Linked DNA regions of Drosophila melanogaster. The protein of the gene in region 1 interacts with the protein of each later gene in a pairwise test. Each region holds a gene or a part of one and is shown in the gene's direction. Other genes may lie near its edges.

The links.
Region 2: the proteins of CG10654 (region 1) and CG17801 interact in a two-hybrid assay, tested with the Drosophila melanogaster proteins (2 studies listed by BioGRID).

What each region holds. Positions count from the first base shown.
Region 1 is NT_037436.4:12,504,847-12,509,432, reverse strand, and holds CG10654 (uncharacterized protein), read left to right. Parts: upstream 1-1,592; 5' UTR 1,593-1,722; coding exon 1,723-2,283; intron 2,284-2,945; coding exon 2,946-3,623; 3' UTR 3,624-4,059; downstream 4,060-4,586. Other genes in the region: sti (sticky), read left to right, coding at 1-1,076; vih (vihar), read right to left, coding at 4,285-4,586.
Region 2 is NT_033777.3:17,805,142-17,808,998, reverse strand, and holds CG17801 (uncharacterized protein), read left to right. Parts: upstream 1-1,913; 5' UTR 1,914-1,929; coding exon 1,930-2,052; intron 2,053-2,109; coding exon 2,110-2,906; intron 2,907-2,976; coding exon 2,977-3,090; intron 3,091-3,150; coding exon 3,151-3,262; 3' UTR 3,263-3,320; downstream 3,321-3,857. Other genes in the region: Odj (oddjob), read left to right, coding at 53-783, 844-963, 1,021-1,345; Nnk (nicknack), read left to right, coding at 3,831-3,857.

The sequences.
Region 1 (4,586 bases):
ACTGCGCCTTTGAAGTGGCCGAGCAGCAAATACTCCTATTGGGCTGTAACACGGGACTGTATGCGTATCACTTGGACTCGCAGCGATTGGTGCACATTTCTGGTCTCGAATCGGTGAGCTGCATGTCCATTTGCAAGCGCCTGGCTAAGGCTATAATGGTGGGCACAGTTGGCGAGAAGCTATATCAATGTGACTACCGCCAGCTGGAGTCACGCTGTCAGAGCTCCAGTTCGTGTCACAAGCCTGTGCTGGAAACGTCGGCCATTGAGCTGCCATTTGCCAATCGCACGCCATCGGAGAAATGGAAACTAGTGCTGATCTCCGATGAGGCGGAGAACGCATTGGATTCGGTGGCTATTGCGGCCACGTCCACTAGGATTGTCATCTTGAAGTACGACCTTAAGCTGCACATGTTTAAGCCAGTTCGAGCCTTGGACACGGCCACGCCGGTCACATCCATATTCTTTACGCGTCACTCGGCCATTGTTAGCTCGGATAAGTTCTACGAGATCGATTTGGACAACTATGCGGCTGAGGAGTTTGTGGATCTGTCCGATAAGTCAATGGAGAGCACTGCCAAGTGCCAGCCCCTAACTGCGGTGCGCATCTCACGACAAGAGTATCTGCTCTGCTTTGCCGAATATGGCGTCTTTGTGGACGAGTTTGGCTGCAGATCCAGGCCGTACGATTTGAACTGGGTCTATGCACCCACTGGATTTGTTTACCGCGATCCATTCCTATTCATATCGCACTATCAAAGCGTGCAGATAGTCCGTTTGCATCGGTCGTTCAGCAAGGAAATGGCCAGCGGGGATAACGCATCGGAGAATTCGGAATCCCCGGAACTGCAGCGCGTCTACTTGCCCCACTACATGTCCACGCTGCTGGCCAACAGCGGAGATGTCAATCTCTATGCCGTGGCCATCGATCAGAGGCCCTGCAATGGAACACAGAAGATCTACCATCTGGACACGATGCAGGCATTCAAGCAGAAGTTCAATATCTCCATGGAAACGCTGTCTTCAGTGGCCACTTCTGTGACTTTGGGCTCGACTGTCACCGGAAATAGCATATAGATGAAGGATATATATTAACTAAACGAATGGACAAAGCAAAATACTACAAACTGAGTAGTTGTAGTTATATCTAGGGTTAGGATATGCTATACATTTGGATTATTATTATTTTAACTTGTCAGAACATATGTTTTTTCACAATCTTTTTCATGTGTAACGATTGCCTAAAATCACATGGCAGAATCTTTTAAAAATTACTTAATTTACTCTTTAAATACTTTGTGCTGTATACACAAATAAAACTTGAGATTTTGATAAAAAAGGTAATTCATATTAAATTAATATATTTATTTTGATCACTAAAATATCGAAGCATATTAAAGGAAATATTTTTTAATTAATTAAAGAAGTCGCATAATATTTTAAATCAATTTTACTATGCAGGATAGCTTTTCGAATAGAATAGTTGGGGGCATGGAGTCGACGCCAAGCTTTTGGGGCTGATCCCACGCAGCTTTTCGGCAGCAGCTTTCAATGTCCCGCAATTCGAAAGCCCCGGAAATGGAATCGTGCTCTCCGCTGGCATTACTGCCATCGTTGGCTTGGCCGCTGGACGCCGGACTGCTGCACTGCCGCCGTCGCAGATTGTGTTAATTGATTTCAATTGGCTCCACGCCATTTGAGTGGCCCGTTGAATCTCCCGACGATGCCAGCAACGATGTTTGATTCCCAGCTGAGTTTGTGCGCGGGTCGCATTGTCGCCGATTCCACCACCACCACTACCTCCGGCATGGATGGATGCGATGGTGCCAAGACGATGATATGCCGCGCTTGTCTTGTGCTACTGGGTCCGCAGGATGCGTGTCACAATCTGGACAGCGAACAGGATCTGGCCAGCAAGTACTACGGCTGTACTGGAGAGGATGCCGTTAGGGATTTGCCACCCCAGTTGGTGCTGAAAAGCATCTGCGAGTGCTGCTATCAGTTGGTGCAAAAGTTCCACGACTTTCAACGCATGTGCGCAGAGTCCTTGCGCAATTTTGAGAAGCTGCTGCAGGACATCGACATCGGATGCCACAAACTGGAGGACCACACTTGGCACGACTTGGACACCCCCTCGGAGAGCAACGAGTCCACTAATCCGGAAGCCCAGTCGCACGCACCCTGCATCGCAGCGACGCAGGAGATTGTGAGTTTTATCTGGCCACAAGTGTGCCTGCCTCTGGCCGTAATCTTATCTAGAATCACATTGGGTGCTTCGCTCGAGGTGTGTTGCCTAGCAGCCAAGCAAAGACAATACTGCTCCCCATTCCCCGCCATAAACAAAAACATTTCGACAGCGTTTGTTTGTGTTGTACTATTTTTGTTTGGTGGGTGATAGCACTCGAAAAGGAGGCACGTCCCAATCTATTGGGTATTTTTAAATTTTCCACTAATAAAATTGGGAAGATGGCAACACGCCTCGATTTATGGCTCCTCCAAATAAGAAAGTCGATTTTAAAGGCCAGTTTTATCTAGAATAGATAAATGTGTTCCCTAACTTTCACTCATTTTAGATATTATTTATAGCGCCTTTAATATTTTTAGCATTAAAAAACTAAACTAAACAGATAAGTGACCGCCAAAAGTTCGGTTCACAAAATATTACTTTCATTTTATCATCTTCTAAGTCGAGCGATAAGATAATCTTAATAGCAAATTAAGGAAAAATTTCCACTTTAAAGTAATGAGTAAACATAATGTAATTCCTACCCTTACTACAAATTACTTAACTCAACCAAAAGCAGTTTGTTTTTATATGCTTAGACCCTTTTTACATAAAAAATTCCTTCATAATAGATATGTACAGAATTCCCACAAAAAAAAAAAAAAACCACCACCATTCAGTTTGCTATGGTAATTAAATATATAATACCCTAAATTTTCCAGGAGGAAGTCTACGTAATAGAGGACGAGTCAGCCAAACAGGATCTGGGCCAGGAGAAGCTATCCATTTCTAGCAAGTTGCTGGGTGCCAGAAAACGACGAGGAGTGCGACACACCCTCGAGTGCCGAATTTGCCACCGTGGCTTCTACAAACCGTCGCTGCTGGAGGCCCATATGCAGCAGCATGAGGGTCTGAGACCGTATACCTGCGTCCATTGTGCCAAGAGCTATGCCCGGGCCAATCTGCTGGAGTCGCACCTGCGGCAGATGCATAACAATGCCGACGCTGCGCGGATCATCTATGCCTGTCCGAGCTGCAACAAGGTGTACACAGCGAACCGAAGTCTCAAATATCACATGAGAAGGACGCACGAAAGGTATCACGAGTCAGAGTCCCCGGATGCGCGGCACATTTGTGAGGAGTGTGGCAAGTGCTTTGCGCGAAAGGCACATCTAACGCGCCACAAGATGGTCCATGGTAGCGTTGAGGGTCGGAGATACTGCTGCGAATGCTGCGATCGCAGATTCTACACCAAGGAGAACATGGTGGATCATCTGCTGCGCAAGCACGGCAATAAGAATCTGCTGCTCAGATGCAGAAAATGCGGACGCATTTTCCAGAACAGCGTGGAGCTCAACGCTCACGGGAGGAAACACAAAGCGATGGATGTAGTTCAATAATTCGTTTTATTTGTGGTTTCAATAACATCAAGCTAACACAACTGTTACAATGATTCGAATTACTTGGAATTTTGTTATGCCAGTATTGTGGGAGAATGCCGCATAATTGGAGATACTAAGACGACGCGAATGGTTGACGAATCGATGAGGCTGCCCTAAAATTAGCTAACATTCACATAATGGCCGGCGCAGCAGCATAGTCGCTTAAAAATCATCAGTACAAAAAAATGGCGATGGCGATGGCGCGCACTCGCAGTAGTTCTCAAAAAAGTAATCATGCGTATATAAAACAATTAACTAAAATTTATCCTTAAGCTTAAAGAACGGATGACAGTTTTAAAATTACATTACCAATACATTCATTTATCATTAATTTGTAGGGAGGAGGAAAGAAATGAGAATAAAAACCAGATTATCCGTCAATCGATCGACAATTACATAAGAAACGCACGGGGTCTTTTGCCAAATGAACTATCAGCATTGAACGTTGTTGAAATTGATCTGGTGATCCACTTAACTGATGGTACTGTGTTACGGTGGTGATTGATGATTGGTTTGTTGGTTGGCAGTAGGTCTTCGGATGAGTGGAGTTGCTTGCACTATATGTAAATAAATACGCCGCAATATGAGCATAGGATATATGACAACGAATTGCCAAACTCTAGGTGTCCTTGTGCTTCTCGTAGAAGGCGTCTAGATATTTTTTGTACTCCTTTTGGTCATTCCACATCATCGCGGCCTGCGCATTCAGTGGACTCTCGTTGTTCGGTTCGCCCAGCAGGGATTGTATGGACAGCAGAATGGTGCGCACATCGTACAGGGCCGACCATTTGTCCTTCAGTATGTCCAAACAGATGGCGCCCTGCAGATCAACATTGGGATGGAAGCAGGACGTCAGGAACTTCACCACGGGTGCTGCATACGGATAGGAATTGGGAAAATCCAGTGACAAACGATACGTTT
Region 2 (3,857 bases), on another chromosome or scaffold:
GGCGTCCCTTTTATTTGTTGTCCGGAATTATTCATAATCTATGCATTTCCAGATCGTTTTAGAGAATATGCTGCCCCAGCACATATGCGCTTGTTGTCTCCTGGACCTGACCCAAGCCGTAGCCTTCAGGCAGCGATGCCTGGAGACGCACGCAAATCTCCACCAGAGGATCTCCTCGAAGGCGGGTGTCGCCTCAAAAGGCTCCCCGGAGGTTTCGCCAGTGCTTAGTGATCCGCTGCTGAAACGGGAGGTGCTGGATGATACAGTAGACACCGAGGACGATAAGGAGCTACTGGACGATGATAAGGATTTAATGGATGATGATAAGGATTTCTTGGAGGACGAAAAGCCGATTTTAAGATATCCTCCGGCCAAAAAAATCCGGATCGAGGACCAAAATTTCCCGAACAGACAGTCCCCACGAGTCAGGGTCAAGCGGCTTCGTGTGCCTGTGGTCGAGAAGGCAGATAGTCCACCGCCACCTCCGCGGGAGCACGTCCGAAAGCCCAGAAAGCGGCGACCAAAACCCAAGGTCGATCGCTCGATAAAGCGATACGTGTGCGACCAGTGCGGTTGGTCGTTCAACGATCACAGCAACATGAAGGATCACAAGCTGCGGCACTTCGAGGAGAAGTTTTCATGCGACGAGTGCGGTCGCAAGTTCTACACCATGCCACTGCTCCGATTGCACATTCGAGTCCATCACAAGGGCGAGAAACCGTACGTCTGCAAGTTCTGCGGTATGGGATTCGCCAATAGTCCCAGCCGCTGTCGTCATGAACGGTGAGTGCTGGCCTAATCATCACAAGTCCTTATCTATATAAACCATAAAAACCTTGACAGTCAAATGCATGCCAACGAGCTGGTGCACCCGTGCAAAATATGCGGCAAACGATTCAACAGCGAGAAGGGACGGCTGAAGCACGAGGAGGGGCACAAGAGTGACCAACCGGATGTCCATATGTAAGAATCATTGAAATATACGTAGCCATAGATGTACAAACTCATATTCTTTCACAGCTGCCTCACATGCAACAAGGAGTTCAAGGAGGCGCAGTTTTTGCATCGGCACTACTCCACAAAGTATCACCGCAAGCGGGTCAACTTGCTGGTTAATGGTCCAAAAGAGGAATTCCAGTCTGAAGTCGATCCGGCGGAGTTTCCGGGATATATGGAAGAGGGGCAGGCAGAAATGGAGGACAACCAGGCTGAACTGGACGTAATGTTAGATAACATTGACGAGGAACAATATGAGGACCACGAGGTACTTCAGGATGAGGACGCAAATTTTGAGGACTTCGAGTACGAGGAAGCCATTCCCGATGGAGAGGAGCTGTACACCTAACTTTAAGCACACAAAAAAAATCGACTGTTGGCGCCACACACTCCACACTCCACACGCCACAATGCCAGGGATGCAAACTATCTGACTTTTTCGGTGGTTCAGAGAAATCCTTTGAATCACCAGCCAGCCGTACGATTAGCACCAGTGTGGAAGGAATTCAACGTCGGTCTTAGATTACAATTTGTTATAAAATATATTTTATTCTAATTGCACAGCGCGCTTATTTTAATAAAAATTATATGGAACCAATTTCAAAAACGTCAGGAATTAGCCGAACGTGTGTTTTAGCTTGAACCTCTCTTTTTGGGAAAATTTAACCTCCCGTTTATAATATATAAATTTTAAATTATAAAAACTAGCTCGATGTTCCCTGGTTTCTAGGAAATAAGAACAGTTAGTTTTTCCACACCTATCTGGTAACGCCATGAAACAGGTAATTCATACAAATTTTGCTGCTTAGAGAGAGTAAACAGAAATTCTCGGATTGCGTACGCTCTTTTACCGTTTTTATTCCATAATTGACAACATAAAATCAATTAAACTACAGCTGATTGTTTTGGGAATTCAGCGGGATAAATGATCATATGTTTGAAATGAAAAAGCCTTCGCAATGCCATTTGTGCGCCTCGTGTTTCTGTCACCTGAATCCCACGATAATTTTTTGCCTGGAAGTTCTGGCCAAGATCAAGGATCTCACTGGAATATGGGTATGTTGATGGTTTCTTGTGTGCGTGAATGGCATAACCCATTTACTCCATTTACAGTTAGAACAGAATGAACGCCAGCCGCGTCATATTTGCCCATCTTGTTTAAATGACTTGAACACATCGATTAAGTTAAAGAAGCGCATTCAACGAGTTCACAATGAAGCAACGCTGAGGCGGGAATCTGGGCTTGATGAGGATCTAGAAAGCACTGTATCCGATATAGAGCCAGAAGGGGATTCCAGTGACTTGGAATCGGAGGAATCATATGATTCAGAAAACTATCCATTTGACAAAAAAGCAGAGGAATCCGATATTGATTTAAATCTCGCCCATGAGGATAGGAGAAACGAACCACATAATCCTTATGATTCGGAAACCCCCTTAATATTTAAGCATAAAAATCCATTAATTGAGACTCCTTCATTTGCAAATGAAAACTTGCCTAACAAAGTCGATGCAAAAAGCCCAAAAAAGGGAAACTTTATACAAATTGGAACCGATCTGAGACTACTTACAACGTATCCCTCTATTAAGGTAGTAAAGCCCCTTGCATTAGCTCCAGAAGATGTGGCAGCTGAGAATGTACCCCCTGCAAAAAGGACAGCTCGGAAAATGCAATCCCTGGTGTGCCCTAAGTGCGGAAGGGTCTTTAAGACTCCATACAACCTAAAGACGCATATGGTGCGCCACACGGGTGAGAAGAACTTTCCATGCACGTTCTGCGACAAGCGGTTCGTCACCAAGTATCTGGCTCGTCTACACGAACGAGTGCGCCACATGGGCGAACAGCCGTTTGAGTGCAACTTCTGCTCGGCAACGTTTTTCACAAGTACAGCTAAGTCGAGCCATGAGCGGTAAGTCCTTACTGCAATTGTATTTAACTTTAAAAGCGCTGACATAAACAATTTCCTAACACTATGACAGAATACGGCACATCAGAGATCTGAGGTACCAATGCGACCAGTGCACCAAGAGATTCAATACCAAGACCTGCTTGAATAAGCACAAGTTCCTGCACTCAGGTCTTAAGCCCTTTGAGTAAGTGAAATGATATGAAATTTGCGCATATTTAATACAAGTCGTGTATTTCCCTCTCAGCTGCGTTATTTGCCAAATCAACTTTGCCCGAAAGGCAACGCTAAGGAGTCACTTCGATTCGGTTGCTCACCAGAAAAGAGCCAGCGCCATCCTGGAATCCGAAGAGCATTGATTCGCCAAAGAATTAGAGATCGTTTTTAATTCCGTCTTATAAGATGCGGGATATGTAGATGAAAGCACGACTTGGATAATTCTGAGGCTCAGGATATCTATTAGACATAAATGTTTGAACGTATTCTCACTGTTTTGGCACTGGATTGCCCTTCGTTTGCTATAACTTTTTTGTATTACATTTTTGTCATTTGCTTTTCCTATTATGAAGTAGTTTCTTTAAGAGTGTAATATTTGGACAGCCATTCATTTCGAAATGTTAAATACCTTACTATTTAATTAATCGTTTTCATTTAAAAACAGAAAACTTATGTATAATATATATTTTTAATTCTTTTTTTGAAGTGGTAAATATATTTGGTAATTCCTATTTGCCACGAAAAGCAAATGCTTGGAGTATATTCCATAACGACCCTTGAATAAAAGGCGCCATTTTCAAATTTTGGCGCCACCGCTTGGCAGTCACCCAGAGACGCGGACAACAACAACAGTTCGCTGCGAATGGCCCAAAATGAAGCAGCAGCTGTTAATAAAGCAAGGAATTTTGGCTCGAAAAATAACTCTTAAAAATGACGCCACAATGCCGGTTGTGTGGA